Struthio camelus: one gene and its partner. The protein of the gene in region 1 purifies or fractionates together with the protein of each later gene. This does not show direct contact. Links are inferred from orthologs where the notes say so. Each region holds a gene or a part of one and is shown on either strand. Other genes may lie near its edges.

The links.
Region 2: the proteins of CCT4 (region 1) and TLE2 purify together in Homo sapiens (affinity purification with mass spectrometry; 3 studies listed by BioGRID and IntAct, with this or other methods). This does not show direct contact. The link is inferred for Struthio camelus from reciprocal best matches to the Homo sapiens genes CCT4 and TLE2.

The regions. Positions count from the first base shown.
Region 1 is NC_090944.1:131,135,341-131,144,789, reverse strand, and holds the start of CCT4 (T-complex protein 1 subunit delta), read right to left. Parts: upstream 4,168-9,449; 5' UTR 3,728-4,167; coding exon 3,610-3,727; intron 2,870-3,609; coding exon 2,817-2,869; intron 2,518-2,816; coding exon 2,428-2,517; intron 1,512-2,427; coding exon 1,403-1,511; intron 1-1,402. UniProt on the Homo sapiens protein: Component of the chaperonin-containing T-complex (TRiC), a molecular chaperone complex that assists the folding of actin, tubulin and other proteins upon ATP hydrolysis.
Region 2 is NC_090967.1:7,794,674-7,803,516, reverse strand, and holds the start of TLE2 (transducin-like enhancer protein 2), read left to right. Parts: upstream 1-5,260; 5' UTR 5,261-5,368; coding exon 5,369-5,392; intron 5,393-5,476; coding exon 5,477-5,574; intron 5,575-6,243; coding exon 6,244-6,307; intron 6,308-6,544; exon of another isoform or gene 6,545-6,559; coding exon of another isoform or gene 6,560-6,590; intron 6,591-7,224; coding exon of another isoform or gene 7,225-7,295; intron 7,296-7,751; coding exon 7,752-7,796; intron 7,797-8,843.

The DNA of each region.
Region 1 (9,449 bases):
GGAACAGGCAGCCTATTGGAAACCATTAAACAGGCATCTTCTAACTACCTCTCAGGGATACCAGGCTGCTGGTCCTAACCACGGTAGCTGCTTCTGGTAACGTTGTTGGATAAGACCGTTCCTGGCTGTCAGGAACATGTAAAAAGAACGCACAGGTACTACCAGTACTGAGAGAGGAAATAACCACAGGCAAACAATTGGTATGAGCTGGAAAGGGGACAACAAGCAAAATGGCGTATACCAAAATGAGACTATGGAAGTAAACAGCTATACAGTCCAGATCTGAGACACAGAAGGATTGTGTAGGTCTATTCATCCTTGCTCTACTTCCAGCGTGCACAGAATCCTAATGATACCAAATCAGATGGCTTCTGGATGGAAGCAGAATGTAAGAGAAAACTGAGGAAAGAAGGTATCAATAATGCTTTACAGAATCAAGTCAGTACTGGGCCCCCCAAAAAGGAATAATGGACAGGGTTTTAATACAAACACATCCCCCCTAAACGGTTAAGAAGTGTCAAATAATACACTGGAGATATTCAAAACCCGTCTGGATGTGATCCTGGGCAATATGCTTGAGCAGGGAGGTTGGACTAGATGACCTCCAGAGGTCCCTTCCGACCTCAACCATTCTGTGATTCTGTGAAACAAGTCAACATTTTGCTTTGTAAGTGTAAGTTGGGTTACTGTTTAATGGCTTTACAGATATACGGCATTTAGATATGCAGGACCTGTGTGCTTCCTTCTGCATCGTTTCTTGACCAGAAAGCCTATCCTCTAAACTTCTGATAGGACAATTTCTACTTCACAAAAAGTACTAGGGGTTTTCACGATAGAGGTAAGTGCTTCTAATCAAGCCAATTCATAGTGCAACAACTGTAACCACTACTTCTAATTCCCATATGTACGACAGGTTGTTTCTGGCGATTCCTGAGCTAATAGAGCACAGCCTACAGTAACGTTTGCTGTCCACAAGTTCACGTCTTTTCCTGACTGGACTTTCTCAAGGACCCTACTCTGTGAGTGACAGGAAGTGACAAACCTGCTGAAAGTAGACTAACTGTACTCACCAGCTCCCAGTTTCATTTACACCTTTTTGAGCTACGTCTCGGTTCACGAGAGAAATACAAGTATAATCTAGGTGTTTTTTTACAAGGCAACATTCGCCATATCACCTAGACGCTATTTCCTGTATCAAAAGTAAAGTGGTCACTACTCAAAATATAAAAAATGTCACTGTTTAACTAACCGGGACACTGGTGAAATCTGAATATGAAGACCTGAGTTACTTTCCGTGTTCAGACTGGAAACATTTAATTTAAGCTTCATTAAACACGTGCAACGAAATATAGGATATAAATAAAAACATGACTAGAGATAGTTAAGAAAAACATACACCGACCTTTCTGAAGAAGTCTGGAACAGGCATCCAAAAGAGCTCCAGCAATGACAACAACAGATGTAGTGCCATCACCAGCTTCAATATCTTGTGCTTTTGACAGCTCTACCAACTACGCAACAAATTATAACAAAAGGTTATAGTGACAATTACAGAGAAAAACATTCAAGAATGCAGTGCGACTGAGACCAACCTTACTATCAGGACCAATCCTGCCTTTCCTAATTTGAAATTTGTACCTTTTGCAACTCACTTATCACACTTTTCACACGTTTGGCAGAAGTACAACTGATGTAAATCAAACCACCTACAGAAGTCAATAAGTGTCTCCGCCAAGCTTTGAGCTGATCACACCTACTGAACAGGTCCAGCTTTTCCTTTAGCAGAATCACAGGTATCTCATTTCCCTCTCCAACCACAATTCACATCTAGGAGGCCTACATTTAAGCTCTCAAAAGGCCAGGCTGCTGTTTCTTGCACACGCATTCACTCTAGCGCACGTGGTCAGACACAAACTGGCTACAAAGCTGGTCTGTTATGAAAGACTTTTCCCCCTTACCCCCCAAACTCAGATCAAATTAATATCCTTATTAATTATCCTGACTATTGAGCACGGCTGGGGTGGTGGGGGCTGGGACAGGGAAGAGAACGTGACACGAAGGACATTCTATTCTATTCTGTTCTAGGGCATCCTAGGACCGCCTGACCATAACGTCATTCACTCTCTTTAAATCTTCTGCATTCTGCTGGTTTAGGCCATCACTGACTTTTCTTTCTTAGCCGAGAGAAGGTTATCAGGCTAGATTCTTTTATGTCTTAAAACATATCCAGAAGGGATTACGCACATGCACACAGGATAAGAAATAGAGTCTTGGAACTCTGAGCAGACCTTATAATCAGGGTAAACAGTCTTGAAACATGCTAAGCAAAGCCTGTTGCTCAAATTCACATGAAACGTTCGAATATTTTCTGTCCTGGAAACGAAGCTCTAACATGTAACCTTGTCCAAGCTATGGAAAAATATTTACCATCTTGGCTGCAGGGTGCAAAACCTGCATTTGTTTCAGAATAGTAGCACCATCATTAGTGATTGTCACATCTCCTTTAGCATCCTGAATCTAGGAAGGAGGAAGAAAAACACAGTTCTGATTAGTAATTACAAATCTGGAAGCTGAGTTGATGCGCTAAACGCAAGGGATTTTCCTGTCGACATTACTTCTGAAACAGATGTGCATACAATTTACATTTTAGAAGTTCCTTTATGTAAGGGAGATTGGGTCACAAAAATCAAAGTATTCTATTTTTCATGCTTGAGAAAGAAAATTCAAAGCAAGAAAAGTTGTCTTACGCCAAATATGTTCACATTACAGTGTGTCCAGTAAGTTTAACGTTTTCAAAATTTCAGCATAAGGCTTACCATTTTATCCATTCCCTTTGGTCCAAGACTTGTTCTAATTGCATCAGCGACAGCTAGAAGAGAAGAAATACATTTGCAAGTTGATCTAAAAAACTACAAGCACTCCATCACTCTAAATATTTCTTCCATAGAGAAGTCGTCCCCCAGTATTAAACGGCCCGCACAGCAAAATTATACGAGACGTTGTAGCTTCAGGATACAGATTTCCATAGCTGGAATTTTACATCAGTTAGCATCCAATCACTTCATTAGACCCATTTTAAAACTAAAGGGAAATGCTTTGTGCCAAGTAACACGACCAGGGTTTGTATCAAATGCCAAATTTAGCTTCCCTCAACAGGCACTTGTCCTACCACCATGAGCCTGTTACCATTAAAAAAATAACCACAAGAACATCTCCCACTGATATACAACGGAGCACGTAACATCCAGGGAGACAACGGCTGGCTGCCAGCACCGGCACTGAGAGAAGCGACCACGGCAAACCTACGCCTTTTCAACGCTGAAAACAACGGAAAGGCGTTGCCCTCCGCACGCTGCCTCCCTCCTTTCCCCCCACCCCAGCCGAAAGGCTGCACAGCAAGGAACGAGTCTCCCCGCGCACGAACGACCGGCGAGGCAGCGAGCCCGCCCCGCCCTCCCCCCCGCAAGGCAGGGGCGAACAACGCCAAGGCGGCTGCCCGGGGCAAGGCACCCCCGCTCCTCCGGCCGGGAACGGGCGGCGGCGGCCCAGGCAGGGCGGAAGCCCCCCCGCCTGCCTCCGAGCTCGGGGCCGCCCCCCGCCGCGCCTCACCTTTGCCGGCGGAGATGTTGCTGAAGCGGATCTGGGAGGGCTTGTCCCGGTCCTGGTAGGTGCCTTTGGCCCGGTTCCCGGCGCCGCCGTGGGCCTTGGCCCCCGCGTTCTCCGGCATCGTCGCCGCCGATAGACACGGACGGGCCTCGCGCTACCGGCCGCCGATGGACACGAACAGAGCCCGCGCTACCGGCCGCCCCGGCGCCGATGGACACGGATGGGCCCCGCGCTACCGGCCGCCTCGCCGCGAACCTTCCAGAACGCGCCGCCGCCACCGCCGCCAGCAGGGCGCGCCCGGGGTCCTTGCGGCCGGCGCGCCGCGTGACGTCACGCCGGGGCGGCCGCCTGCGCGCCTGCGCCTGGGTCGCGGGGAAAGGAAACACACGCCCGCCGGCGAGCCGCTCGGACACCTAAAGGGGCACCATCGGCGGCTGAAGCAGCTTCTAGCAGGGACCGCTCGGGGTCCTGCGGGGCCGCGCGGGACGTTTCCCGCCCGGCGGAGCTGCACGGAGCTCGCTGCCGACGGGCGGGGCTGGAGGGCGGGCCACGTGGTGCCGCTCCGCCAATGGCGCGGCTCGCGCCGCGCCGCGCCCCGCCCCGCCCGGGCGGCCTCCCTCGGCGGGCGCCCTGAGGGGGGGAGCGTGAGGCGCCGGCGGGGAGGGGTAACGGCTGCCGGAGACCCTCGGTTGGGGGCGGGGGGGGGGGATTGAGAAGTAAGGAGATATATGGATTTTATGTACTAAGAAACTAGTGAAAAGGATCCCGCTGGCAAAGCAGTTTGAGCTCTGTCTGTGAAGGGTGAGGTTATGTCCGGGGTTGACTTGAGGCAGCGATGGCCGAAAGAAGGGCGAGGGGAGCTCAAACCGAGGGACTTCATGTAGGAAAAGATGCTGAGGGAGAAAGTGCCCCAGCGAGAAGTAATCGATGTGCTGGACGTCTTTGTGAAGAACAAAAGTGGTTTAAAAACGTCAGGCTCGTCCGCTCACCCTCCCTGTCGGAGAGTGAGTTCTCTCTGTCGTATTTTAGTAGAGCTCAGTGAATCGAGCAAACAACATCGCCCCGCTTTGACCGCTTTGACCGGTCAGGGTGTCATTTTCCAGAACGCTGAAGGATAAGTGCAGCATCATTTGAACGTTTTTCTTAACAGAAGCACGTTCACAGTGACTCTAGCAGTTTCCTGGGCTCCTTCATTTAGAAGAACCAGAAGTTTGACCCAGACGGAAGGAGCGGTTCAGTTCTGTCGGACAAGACCTGCTGGCTGCGGCTTTTTTTTGTGTTCATTCTGAATGCTAAAATAATTTGCCTAATAAAGACGATGGCAAGAAGTGTACTCTTTCCCATAGTGTCCCAATATTGTCCATTTACAGCTGTTTGGCCACAGCAGGTTGTATGAAACTTGGAGAATATCATTGATGTTTTACTGCTGGAAGGGCTCCCAGCAGCACTTCTGTTTTCTTGGGGAGCCCCTTCCCTGAGAACATCTGGGGTTACAAGCAGAGATTATTTTCCTAGCGCTGTGACTGTTAACTCATCAAGTCGGTCTTGTCACTGCACAGCTTTTGTGAAATTTGCAGGTGCAGCTATATTATAAACATTTGCTAATGTATTTTTGCTTTAGAAAAATTTCCTCTGGCGGACAGCCTCTCCAAAGCCATTGATTTCAGTGCTATATGATAAGTCAATAGCCATGGATGTTAGGGTAGCTGTAACTCTTTTTCCTTTGTGGTCTATCCCACTATTTCATGGGTCCAGCCTTTGGCTTTTATTGGTCTCAGCATGGCATCTTGCAATTTCTTTCCTGTTAAGACAGAGACCTGCTATGCTCTCAGCTGTTTTGATTACATTTTGAGCACCTGTGTTTTCCCTTTTGCAGAACTTACTACCCCGGGAGATTGACCGGCATCCTCCTTAAAGATCAGCAAAAAGGATTTTCAGCAGCAGCTTTATCACAGGTGACATTAGACTTGAATTACAGGGAAGAACAAAAACAACGTATGTTCTTCTGTCGTGCCCTCGTCATCCTATGTGCCTGAGGGACTCTAGCTCAGCTTGTAACATCACCTTAAAAAGGTATGCTTTCTATCAATAAAAATCATGAGAGTTGGAAGATAGCTTATATTTAACTGTTAAGTTGGTCTTGCTTAGATACTATCTAGGTATAAGAAGCATTTGTGCTCTTGTCTTTCTCAGAATTTCTGAATATATATTTGGAATTATTTTCGCCACCTTGAACAGAATATAAGCTTCAAAAGGTTTGAATGCAAAGCACATACTTGAATCTGCAAAGTAAATTAATTTTAGACTGTGTTCAAAATAAGAAACAAATGTGTGTGTGCTTACTAATAATTTCTGAGGGGGAAAAAAAACAAGATACATCTGGAAATCTTTGTAAGAAAACAACCTGCGGTCTTTGAATGACCCAGTATATTATTATTAGTGTTATAGCAGCTCAAAAGAGCTTTGGCTGAAATGAGAATGCTCAAGTAATGTCTTAAAACATGGATTTTTTTATGGCCTATCTCTTCCAGGCTGGATGCGAGGAGTTAAGATTTATGGTATGGCAGCGCCAATAAAGTGCTCATACATAGAGGAAATTACACAACAAGAAACGTATCCCTGCGCCGGTGAAGTGCGCATAATGTAGACAATGCGTTGTAAGAAACAGGCAATGGACGTGAGCTCCTGAGCTTGCTTTCTGTTTCCAAGTATCTACATCTATATCAAGAGCTCATTGCACGTGAAACCTGTTATCATGGTGAGCAATTTTCTAGTGCTAACAACAGTTTTTTATGTTGATCAGCGAAGAGAAAACATTTTGACAGTCCTGTTGTCATCCAAAAAATATGAAAAAAGGCTCCACAGTCACATTACCTTATCACCCGCTTAACCATTTTTAACAGTTGCTTTTGAATTTTCTCACTTATTCCATATTACATGTGTTGGTTTATTTTTTGTACTGTGTTCTTGGCAATTACTGCCAACGTAAAGATAACAGCAAGTATGCTCCTTCTCCAGCAAATGCGCTGAGCAGTTTGTAAAGGCAGCAACATCCTGGTTTCCCTGGTCACGCTGAGTGGATTTATCCGCCGTTGTAATGAGAATGAATGCTCTTTGTCAGAGACAGTATGTGGAGAGAAGATTTGGGAAGTGAGTAATTTTTGCTTTTTTATGTTCCATTTACAACAGGCAGATAAGACAAGTTTTAAGTTTAAAGATAAGCTGATGCATATATCCAGGCCGAGAGCCGTGGACTGGGGACCTTTTCTGGTAACAGTCTTAATCTGGATTTGTATTAAAAATCATCAAAAGTACATCCTAAATGACCAAGACCATAGGGATCTCTAACCCTGCTCTTAGAATACAGGAAGCATTGATGGCAACAGTACTAAATCCTAGACGTGTAACGCTAATGTAATGTCAAAGCTAGAATCTGGGCTGTTTGTTACTCAGTGCAGAGTCCGGTTTTTTAAAGACCTATTGTAGTATGCTTAGAGTTTCTGAAGCTGGCCACTTCCTTGTAGCGCCGTGGCCTCACATTTGGGATCATTTAGAGTTTGTTGTGGTACTGTTCTTAGTTTCTCCTGCATATAAGGGTCAGTATAGCTATACTCAAGGGTACTGTGTTCATGTTGGGAGTGGAAGATGTTGCCTCTGTGATACTAGACTGGGATCTGGGTTTGGTTATGTCACAGAGTGTTCCAATGGACCTCGTTTGCTGGCAGAAAAAATAGATAGTTTTGAAGATAGATTTTTGTGCTATTACCATAAGTGAGCACATTACATAAGTGAACACTTATGGTGTTGGGTCTGGCAGAGATTGCTATTCCAGGATTAGATTTGCACTAAGGTTAGGAGCAAGGTTTAGGCTTTCCTGGATTTTGAAGGAAATAATAGTTAGAGCTGATGCTGTAAGAGCCGCCACATAGCTCTGTGTTTGGCAGAAACAACCCCTCTGCTGTTAAGAATAATTTGAGGATAGGGTTTGTTCCGTTACTGGGTGGAGAGCCTGGATTTTTAATAGGTATATGACAAGTTGCTGAGCTAAGTTTAGGGCTGCTATGGTTAGTGGCTACCTTCTTACTAATAATTTTGGTCTGGCAGGGTTGCCTCTTTAGAGCTGAGGCTGGGTTTCAGTGCAGTTAGGATTAAGGTTTTTGTAAGTATTAGTCTATGAGATTAGGTTTGTGCTGGATTTAAAAGGAGTGGTCTGGCTAGCTTAAAGGTTGTTGTCATCTGCTGTCTCCTTTATGCGCCTAATTCTGTCTACTAGAAATTCCTTGCCTCGGATTGCATGGCAAGAAATTCCTTGCAGGGTTTAAGGGGTTGTGGTGGGCTATGACACATAATGTGTTTTGCATTGTGTTTTATTGCTTGTTTTGTCTGCTAGTTTTAATTTAGTTGCGCAGGTATGTAAGAGGTCTTTCAAGCTGCTGAGTTTTGTTTAAGGCAATTGTGACTAGTTTTTCAGCTTCATTCCACAGGGAGATTTCCCCCCCCCCCCCTTTTTACTAGTGCATAGTTAGGGGCAGCATTATGGTTAGGCTTCCTGCTCTGATGTCATGTTGGCCTGAATGCCAGTTGTTAATGTTGCTCCAGATTTAGAGTTGTGGATAGAAATTTCTCTGGCTGTTCTTGGTGTTCCTTGTGGGAGAGGTTATCTGAGCAGGCTTAGTGTTAGGCTTATTATTAGACTTCATGTTAGAGTGAAGGTTAGGGGTTTCAGATGGCGTGGACTGGTGAACAGGCTCAGCTGAAGAGGGTGTGGGGATCCAGTGGGCTAGGTTTAGGATGTTTGTATTTAGGGACATCAGATTGTTCTGCAATCTGCATACAAGAAGCAGTTGGTGCGCAGGGAAGAGGAGGAGCAGAATTACCTTTATGTCCATCAGTGGCACAATGTTTCTGTGGCTTTCAAAGTTGTGTTTTGCTCAGGCAGAGGCAATGAACAGTATCAATGTTTTTTTAACCAGCTCCTCTGCTGCTTGCGATTCTGGGCAGATCGCTTCACTTGTCTGTCTCTTGATTTTCTTGCCCAACTATTTCTAGTCTGGTGTAGTTAGATAATGCAGTCTTTTACTACCTGTATGTACGGTGTCTCTTATAAAATAGAGTCCTAATGTCAGGCAGACCTTGCTAGTTCTACTGCAGTAAGATTGATAACCTTCACCGCATAAATAACATCAGTGAATTGTATAGGTGTGATTATGGCAAAATGTGGTTTGTAGAAATATTTCCATCTCTGTTCTTTTTACAAGGTGAAAAATACCTGGGATGTATATCTTTCGTAGTTAACTGTGCTGCTTTATATCAGGTTGGGTATGAACTTTAATCGCACATACAGTCTTTCTTCTTTTTTTCCTGAAGATAATTTGCCTGGAATTCTCAGGGGAGTAGTAATGACAGTATAGTGAATTATTAGCTCTTGTCACCATTATTTAATCACTTTCTGATAAGAGTGAGTAGGTTCTAAACATTTAATACATTTAATAGCAGTCTTCTTCAAATACTCCCCAGTGCAAAATATTTTACACAGCAAGTAGATTATACTTATCCAAAGAAGAATAGAGTCGGTACCTAGTGATCACTGTAGAAATGGAAATGTGATTTTTTTTTTTTTTCCTTCTGACTTGAGTTTCTCCCTGGGGTTTTAGCTATTGGTGTCTCAAGTGTTTTTCTTGGTACTTTGGTTAAACCCCTCCCGGTGGGGCTGCCGGCCCTTTGGTTTGGCTTCATGGCAGCTGTAGCTGCATCTGTGCTGCCACCTAGTGGAGAAGGCGTTGAACAACTGATACAGATTTTTAGGGATTTTTCTTTGCTCCTTTTGTTTTCTTTTGTTTTGC
Region 2 (8,843 bases), on another chromosome or scaffold:
CCTCTGACCTGCTGGCGTTTAGCAAAGATCAGGACCTTGCAAGAGGATGGGATTTGCTACACTAACTCAAACCTAGCACTAAGGCCTGGCTCCAGGGAGTGATGGGCACTTTGGACTGGGACTGTATCTGCTGGGGCAGATACAAGATGTGAGAGGCTTGAGAAAAGGTGCGTGGTGCTGCACGCACACTCACCGGGGCTCACGTGGCTGCAGCTCTCCCCAAAGCTGCTTTTGGAGGGGTTTCTTCTGGCGTGGATTGGCTTGCTGCAAAGAGGGGATGGAGGGACTGGAGTGCGGCTCTGTCCCGTGTCCCCCTTCCCTGGGAGCCCCCCTGGGGTTGGCACAGCCATGCCGTGGCCCTGGATGGGTTACAGAGCCGGCGGACGGTGCGAAGTCTGGACAACGCTCTCGTTACCTGCGCGCTAACGCCTTGCCAACATGAACTGGGGAGGGATGCCTGGGGCCTGGCAGAGGTTTGTTTGGGGCTGGGAGGTCGCTGGGGGGTCACGGGTCTGGGGGTGGTCTTTGAAAGCAGCACCTGGGTGCCGCCTCTGCAGAGTCGGTGGTCTCGGCCACACTGGACCCTCTGTGCAGCGTCTGGGCGCTCCGGACACAGCCGTGGCGGCTCGCGGAGCAGCAGCGGGTCATGGTAGCCACTCAGCTGTGGCAGGAAGGGTTCCAGCGCGTGGAGGTTTCCCTCTGGCTGCTCGCCCCAGGCAGGAGCAGAGCTCCATGTGTGGCACGAGCTGGCCTGACCTCAACCTCACTGCCGAGGGGCAGGTGCGTGGGGCAGACGGGTCCCCGCTTGCTCCGTCCCCCGGAGGGTGCAGGGCAACCTCTGGAGCTGCTTCCTCTGGGTCGGGAGCTGGGTGCAGCCCTGCCGCCGGCGGCAGCCCGACCCCTTGGTCTTGCAGCTGCTCCGAGGGCCTCGCTGGGGCTGAGCGAGCAGGTTTCTCCTGCGAAAGGCCAACTCCGCTTCGGGCCGGGGACTGCTGCGATACAACAGTTGCTAAAACCATCTCTGCTCCGTGAGCGCAGCTGGAAACCCCGCCGGGAGCGCGCTGGCTGCGGCGAGGGCTGGCGCTCTCCCAGCGCTTTCACCTCGAGGTCACGGGTTCAAATCCAGCCTGAGGTAGGGAGCGCCGTAAGTGGATGCTAGTTCTGATGGACGCGCGAGGGAGGAGGACTGAGGCGAAGTCGGTCTGGGGTGCTTTCAGGCTGGCGGCTCGGCGGTGGGCTGGGGGTCGAACAGACCACCAGGCTGCCGGCCGAGCACTCCCGGCTCACAGGGAGAGGGGTGGGAGCCGTCCCTGCCTGAGCCGGGGGTATGCCCCCCCGCGCTGCGGGACTCCAACCTGCGTTAACATGCTAGGAAAGAGCCTTTGGGCTGTCAGGTCCCCTGTGGCCCCCAGTGAACGCTGAGCTGAATCTTGCGCTCTGTTCCTGCTTTTGGGAGACGATCCACTCTCGAAGTGGGCTGGTTTCTCTCTCTCCCCATGGCAGCAGCAGAAAAGGCTCAAAAGTGCCTCTGCGGGGACTGCCAGGGTAGCCTCAGGCCCAGGGAAGCAGCGTCCCTGCTGCAGGCGGGCTGCCCTGCCCTGCAGCCTCTCCTGGCCCAGCGAGCTCCGGCCTGGGGCTTCCCCCGCCCAGCTGGTTAAGGATGGTTTGAGGCTCGTTCCCAGCAGCGAAACGACTTGTCGTTGTGCACGAGAGGCCGTGGCACGAGTGCGGGACGCTGGCAGGTGGCTGGGAAGCAGCTCCCGGCACGGGGATGCTCGGACGAGCTCTGCAAACGCCGGGCTGTTCGGGGGCAAGGAGCAGCCTCGCGACAGCCGCCGTCTGAAGAGCTCCGGCTGCGAGGGACGGAGAGCGGGCCCGGCGCGCGGGGCCTGGCTGCGGCAGTGCCATGCCCCCACCGCGGCAGCGCCGCCTCTCAACCGCGGCTTGGCATCGATTCCTGCTTGCAGCGTCCAGGGACTTGGCGAAGCTCCGCCGTCCCACATCTCTCCCCCTCCCACCTGCCCGTCACTAGACGCAGGAAAATGTCATCTTTCCTCCGTGGCGGGGCGAGCAGGCGCCAGCTTTTCACGGGGTCGCGCAGGTTTCCACACCTTCCTGCCCCTCCGCCCGTCGCCCCCGGCTCCTTCCCTCGGGCAGATCCCGCAGCCCCGCGGCAGCAGCGGGACCGGCCGCCCGGCTCCCTCCCGGCTCCTGCCCCCTCGCCCACCAGGCGAGCAGCCCTGCGGGTGGCAGCGCCTCCTCCCAGTTCATCACTAATGCAGGAGCGCCAAGCCCTTCCCGGCTGCAGCCAACGCGAGATAAAAGCTAAAAGAGGCATCAATAATTAAAAACCACTCAAAGCCGGTAAGTGCAAACAGGAGCCAACATACAGATCGAAGGCAGCGCCAGAGACGAGTGTCAGCTGCTGGGTTGCTTTAAGGGCTCCCAGACCTCCTTTGCGTGGGTTCCCACGGGTCCCGCAGCCAGGGGGTGACAAGGTGTCCCTGGCGCGGCAGGGACGCAGCGGGGGGTGCGGGCGCCCGGCCCGGCACGCCGGGGCAGCAGCGCCCCGGCACAGCGAGGGGACCCCTGATTTCGGCCAGTCCCCTCCCTCACTTTCCCCTCTCAGCTTGTCGGCTCCAGCGCGGGCTCCAGCCAGCACAAGGCCCCAGCTCGTGCCAGCTGCTGGCAGAAACGTGCCGGGAGGTTGGCGCTGCCTCCGGCGGGCGCCGCCGGCCCCAGGGCTCCCGACTCGAGGAGGCAGGGGAGGCGCTGGACGGGGGAGGGCATCGCACCCGCTCCCTGCTCCCGCGGTCGGGCGGGTGTTTTAGCGCGGGAGCAGAGGGAGCTGCCTCCTTCAGGGTCACCCGTGTCACCCCTGCCTGTGGAAAACGGGCCGTTTTGGGCAAGAAGCTTTGAAAACGCTCCAAAACGTCTTCTCAGGCCGAGTCCCTCCCTCCCGTGAAGTGGGTCAGGCCAGGCCCGTCACCCCTCGGGTCCTGCGCCGCGGGGCACATCTGCGCCCTCATCGCTCCTGCGCCCCGGGAGGCTGCGGGGCGCCGGGCGGGAGCCCAGGGGTGCCCCCCGCCTTGCCCCCAGCCCAGCCACCGCCGGCACGGCACGCGGCGAGGAAATAGCACAATTAATAAAAGATTAGGACGAAATGTGAGGCATGAAATATTTAACCTCGTGCCTGCCTGCACGGTGCCCAGGTACAGCTGGTTCTTGCAATATTTAAGGATAGTCCTCGCTCTGCTGCCACCGCCGGTGCGTGGCGGGGGGCCTGGGGACGGGACAGGACGGGCGGCCGGCCCTTTTGGGTGTCCGCAAAGGGGAAGCGGGCCGGCGGCCGGGCAGGCGGGGACCCTCGCGGGCCCAGGCTCCGGCTGCGTCCGGCAGGGCCGGCGCCTCCCTGCTTCCAGCCCCGAGCGCGAGGCGAAGCCCAGCTTTAATCGGACAACGATCCCCAAGATACTGGCGGCAGCGGCCGCAGCCGGCTGGCGGCGTCGCGGCCTGGGGCCGAGCCAAGGGCGGCCGGAGCCCGGCGGCCCGAGAGCGGCCGTGGTCGGGCCCGGGCGTCCGCGGGCCTCCGGCAGCCGCTTCCCTAATCGCAGCTCCTCCGAGGGCCGGGAAACACCCAAAGCGGGTGAAATCAGCCCAGAACCTCTTGCCGGCGAAACCCGGAGCGCGTTGGGGTTTGGGGTCTGCTTTCTCCTCCCGCTGCGGTGCTGGATTTCCCCCTCTGATTTCCTCCCTCCCTCCCCCCCGCCCCGAGAAGAGGAAGATTTTGGGGCGTTTTGCCCCAAATCGGAAACACCGGTGGCCTGTCCGCGGCCGCCGGTCCCGGGGCGCCGCGCCTCGACATCCCCCCTCCCCGGGGACTCGTCTGCCCTCTCGGGGGGATTCCGCGCGGTTTTGGGACTCGCCCCCCCCCCCCCGGGGCCGGGGGCCGCGCGGGGGCGCCCCCGCCGCCGGGCCGGGCCGCGGCCCACGTTACTTTGAGTGGCAGCCGGCGGCCGCCCGCAAGGCCTTGTGGGCGGCGCAGTCCGCCCGCGCCGGGGCCGGGGCCGGGGCCGGGGCCGGGGCCGCTCCCGCCCGGCGGCTCCGGCCGCCCCCGCCCCCGCCCGACCGGGAGGGCGCCGCCGCCCCGGGCTGCCGCGGGCGGGAGCGGCCGCAGGCGGCGCGGCGGAGCGTGGACTACAGCTCCCAGCGTGCCCCGCGGTGCCCCGCCCCGCTGCTTCTGATTAGCCTCAGCGCGCGGTGACGTCAGGGACCCATGTGGGGGCGACGCGCGGCGATTGGCCGGCGGCCCCCGAGGCGGCCGCCAATGGCAGGCGCGGCTCCCGCGGCCGCGGTTTAAGGTGGATCGGGGGCGCCATGGCGGGGGGCGCCCCGGTCCCGGCCCCGGTCTCGGGGTGGCTGCTGCGGGGCCGGGGAGGGGCAGCGGCCCCGGGAGTCGCTGTGCGGCGGCGGCGCGGCCCCGTGCTGCCCCCCGCCCCCGTCCCTCGGGCGCCCGGTTTGGTCCCGCTGCCCGTCCAGGTCCCTGCTGCCCTGCCCGCCCAGGTGCCCGGTCTCGTCGCGGTCCCGCTGCCCGTCCCGGTGCCGGTCCCAGTCCCCGCTGCCGATGCCGGTGCCCGTCCCGGTGCCGGTGCCCGTTCCGGCGGGGGCGCGGTGCGCCGGGCCGCGGCAGCCCCCCGCCGCCTGCTGCGGGAACGCGCCACCTTAAGCGGCGCCGGGGGCTGCGCCGGGAGGCGGCGGTCGCCCCGGCCGGGGACGCTGCTCGGTGCCGGCCCGCTCGCGCGCCGGCCTCTTCCCGCCGCCCGCCCGCCGCCCCGGCCCCATGGGCAGCCCGCAGAGACCCCGCTGCCGTCGGGGGGAGGCGTCCCCCGCCCGGCTGCCCGGCGGCGACGGGCTGCCCCCGGCCTGATCCCAGCCGAGCCCCGACCCCCGGCCCGGCCCCGACCCCCGAGCCCCGACCCCCGGACCGGCCCCCGACCCCCGGACCGGCCCCCGACCCCCGGCCCCCGGACCGGCCCCGACCCCCGGCCCGGCCCCGACCCCCGGCCCCGACCCCCGGACCGGCCCCCGACCCCCGACCCCCGGCCCGGCCCCGACCCCCGGCCCCCGACCCCCGGCCCGACCCCCGGCCCCGACCCCCGGACCGGCCCCGACCCCCGGCCCGACCCCCGGACCGGCCCCGACCCCCGGCCCGACCCCGACCCCCGGCCCGGCCCCCAGCCCAGCCCCCGACCCCCGGCCCGGCCCCGACCCCCGGCCCGGCCCCGTCAGCCCGGCCCGAGCTCCGACCGGGGACCGGGGGCGGCAGCGGGCGGCCCGGAGAGGGGCGGGCGGGGGCCGGGCCCGCAGGATGTTCCCGCAGGGGCGGCACCCTGTGAGTACCCGCGACCGGCGGCCCGGGGGGCTCGGGGGGCCGCGGCAGCCTTCACCAGCCGGCCCGGGCGCCCTCTCTCCCCAGGCTCCTCTCCCGGCCGGGCAGCCCTTCAAGTTCTCGGTTTTGGAGATCTGCGACCGCATCAAGGAGGAATTTCAGTTCCTGCAGGCTCAGTATCACAGGTGAGGGGGGGCCGGGCAGCGGCAGGGCCTGGACGAGGGGTCCTTGTTTGGCCGGAGGGCAGGAGCGGGGCAGGAGGGGCTGGGGGCCGGGCTGTGCTGTGAAGTGGGGGCTCAGGGTGGGGGGAAAGGAAGGTCCGGGCAAAGGAGGACAATGGGGGCCGGACTGAGGGGAGCATTAGGGGCAGGAGAGGATGGAAGAGGGGTCCTGGTGAAGGGGTGATCGGGGTGCGCAGGGAGAGGGGTCTAGACTGAGGGGCAGACTGAGGCTGGGAATTGGGGTGCCAGGTCCTGAGGGGGCCCCAAGGCTTGTGCCAAGCCGGGCGTAGGGAAGCGTGGAGGGGAGATGGACCCGTGCCGCGGAGATGGAGCAAGGGGTGGGCTGAGATGGAGCAGTCCCGAGGGGAGCAGGGGCTGCATGGGCAGCACACGGCGCAGCCAGCCCCACGGGTCCAGGTCCCTCCGGAGGCACCGAGGACCAGGACAGCAGCAGCAGTCAGCGATGGGTGCGTGACACCCTTGTGGTGCCATGAAACTCTGGGGGCAGAGATGGAGTCGGGGGAGAGAAAGGTAGAAGAGCCAAGCTTTCTGAGACCTGGGGTGGGGGTGGACACAGGGGGACAGGGCAGGGGAGGTGGGTCCGTGAATGAAAACCAGGGATCCTCTTTGCAGCCTGAAGCTGGAATGCGAGAAGCTGGTGAGTGAGAAGACCGAGATGCAGAGACATTATGTCATGGTAAGTCCCCCCTCTGCTGTCCTCCACGCCCCCAAAGTGTCCTCGACCCCCAGCCCTCCTGGCGAGGGCCCGGGGCCGGAGCTCCTCTCAGTTGCTCGCCCAGCTGAGACGCGGACTTCTGCGGGCCACTGCCGCTAAGCGGATCTCTGGCCTACGAGGTTGTCCTGGGGCTGGGGGCGTGAGTTAGGAAGGAGTTAATCTGTATTCCTAGCAACGGGCTGGCTCTTCTGCTGATGTCTGCTGCCGTGCTTGATGCTGTCTGAGCCCAGGAATCATGCCATAGGTTTCTTCTCTTTTATTTTCTTTTTTTCCCTTTTTCTGTTTGGCCTCTTAAAGATAAAGGTCTCCTCCCTGTCTCTCTGCCAAGAGGGGATGTCTTGGAAGTGATACCCCGAGGCTGATGTTTTGGTGTTTTGGATGGGAGGGGAAACTGCCTTTAAAAAGAGCAGGGCAGGACCCCTCTGCAGTGGCCAGCCCACCGGTGCGTGCCAGGCCTCTTGCTGGGCAGCTTGGGGCAGGAGGAGGGGTGGCACTGCTGGCCGGAAGCTAGGAAAATGAGAATTGGAGAACTGGAGTAACATTACCTCTCCTTCTGCATCTGACATTACCGGCCCCTCCAGGGGAAGGGGGAGACACAAATTATCCCCCCTCCCAACAACAAACAGACCTAAACCTGGGCAACCCCATCCCCTGGGTGATGGCTGCCCTATTCCTGAGGCCGGGGGTATCAGGATTTATCAGCATGGCAGGATGTGTTAGTGCCACCCCATCAGCTGGGAGCCTCTCCCACCTCTCGCCACCTCGGGGACTCCTGGAGGTGGGTTGCTGTGTCTGAGATGGGCTTTGCTGGAGGAAAGCAGGTCCTCTGGCCCCAGGGGCAGCTTTGAACTCACTGCCCGCCTTCTCCCCGGCCTCAGGGGAGGTGGGACAGAAGTCTGCTGGCTGTCACCACTGCCAGAGTCGCAATTGGCTTCAGCTGGTGAAAGAGGTAACCTTACGTCATCTTTTTCTTTGCACGGGCATGACAGCCCGTGTGACTAGATGGGAAGCTGCATCAGGGAGTCGATCTGGGTTAGGAGCAGGAAGGGACAGGCCAGGATAGGACCCCCTTTCCTTGCCTCCGGTCTGACCTACACACTGGTCTATGCTAATGCAGAATCTAGGGTATAATCCTCAGTCTGCACCTCGGCGGCACCCCCAGCTCGTCCCAGGCGTTGGTTGGAACTCACGGTGTGATGAGTTTGGGCGGGCGTCAGCCCATCGCTTTCGCTCAGCTCTTTCCCTGGACCCTGGGGCTGGCCAGAGCAGGGACCGCAGCAGCAGGGTTATGCTAGAGGAAGTTTGACAGGGGAAGCAGAGATGGACTGGATGTTAAACCCCTGGCTGAAATGGGCTGATTGCTCAGGGCAAATGCTAACCAAGCTGCCCTGTGATTTCCTTTCAGTATTATGAAATGTCCTACGGGCTGAACATTGAAATGCACAAGCAGGTGAGTGTTTTCCAACAGACCCCAGCTCAATCTCCCTTGTCTCTGTGTCCCTGTTAGTGGCATGGGAGAGCTAGCGCAGCTGTGGGTGAGGGACTACCTTGCAAAGGGCTTGAGCAGTTGTCAGGACATGTGGTACTGAGCTCTGGTAGATACCTTGGGCGGAACCTCCTCCCAGTGATCCCAAAGCACCTCTCGAAGTCTGGCCTTGCATCCTGCAGTCCCTGTGTGCATACCTGCCAGCAATGGTTCCCTGGGGCCCCAGACGCCGGAGGGAGTGTGGAGGAGACAGCAGGAACTGGAGCCCGGAGGCAAATGGATTGCCTTTCTTTTCTTTCTTTTTTTTTTTTTTAATCCCCTTTTCCTTTCCTGAAGCCAGAGGAGTGTTTTCACCCTTCCCCAGTTCCCCTTTTGTTCCAGCGTTAATTTGCTTTCCCTCTTCAGATTTATCAATCTAGTCATCACGGGCTCTCTGCCAGTGAAATTAGTTTGGACCAATGCCTGACAAAGTGGCAAGTCAACTGCCATATTCCTCCAGCTGGCTCAGCCCCTCCGAGTTTGCTCCTTTTGTTGGCAGGGAGGGCTGTAGAGCCCTCCAGCACGTTCCTGCTGTCCCCACGTGCTCCGAACTCTGGTGGGACTGGGATCCAGGGGAGCCGCCCGGGACCCGGGGGCTCTCCCCGCAGGGCGGCAGGGAGGCGGATGGCTGAGGGGTTGGAGACGGGTGGGGGGCTCGGGCCCGGCACGCCTGGGTCCTGCTGGTGGCTGCGGGCACTACGAGGTCACCCGGACCGGATCTGCCCCTCCCGGGTGGGAGTCGGGAGTCGCGGCCAAGCAGCAGCAGGCTGGATCGGGGGGGACGGGGTGTCTGGGGGGTGACAGGGTGTTTGGGGGGACGGGGCAGGCGGGTGCAGGCTGCGCTGCCCCCCGCCCCGGGCAGGGAGCTGCATGACTCCCACAGCCAGGTAGACGTCCGTCCCCTTTGTTCTTTGCCGCCTTTGTGTACGGTTTGACCTCTCTGCAATGCTGTCAGAGATTGTAGAAACCTGA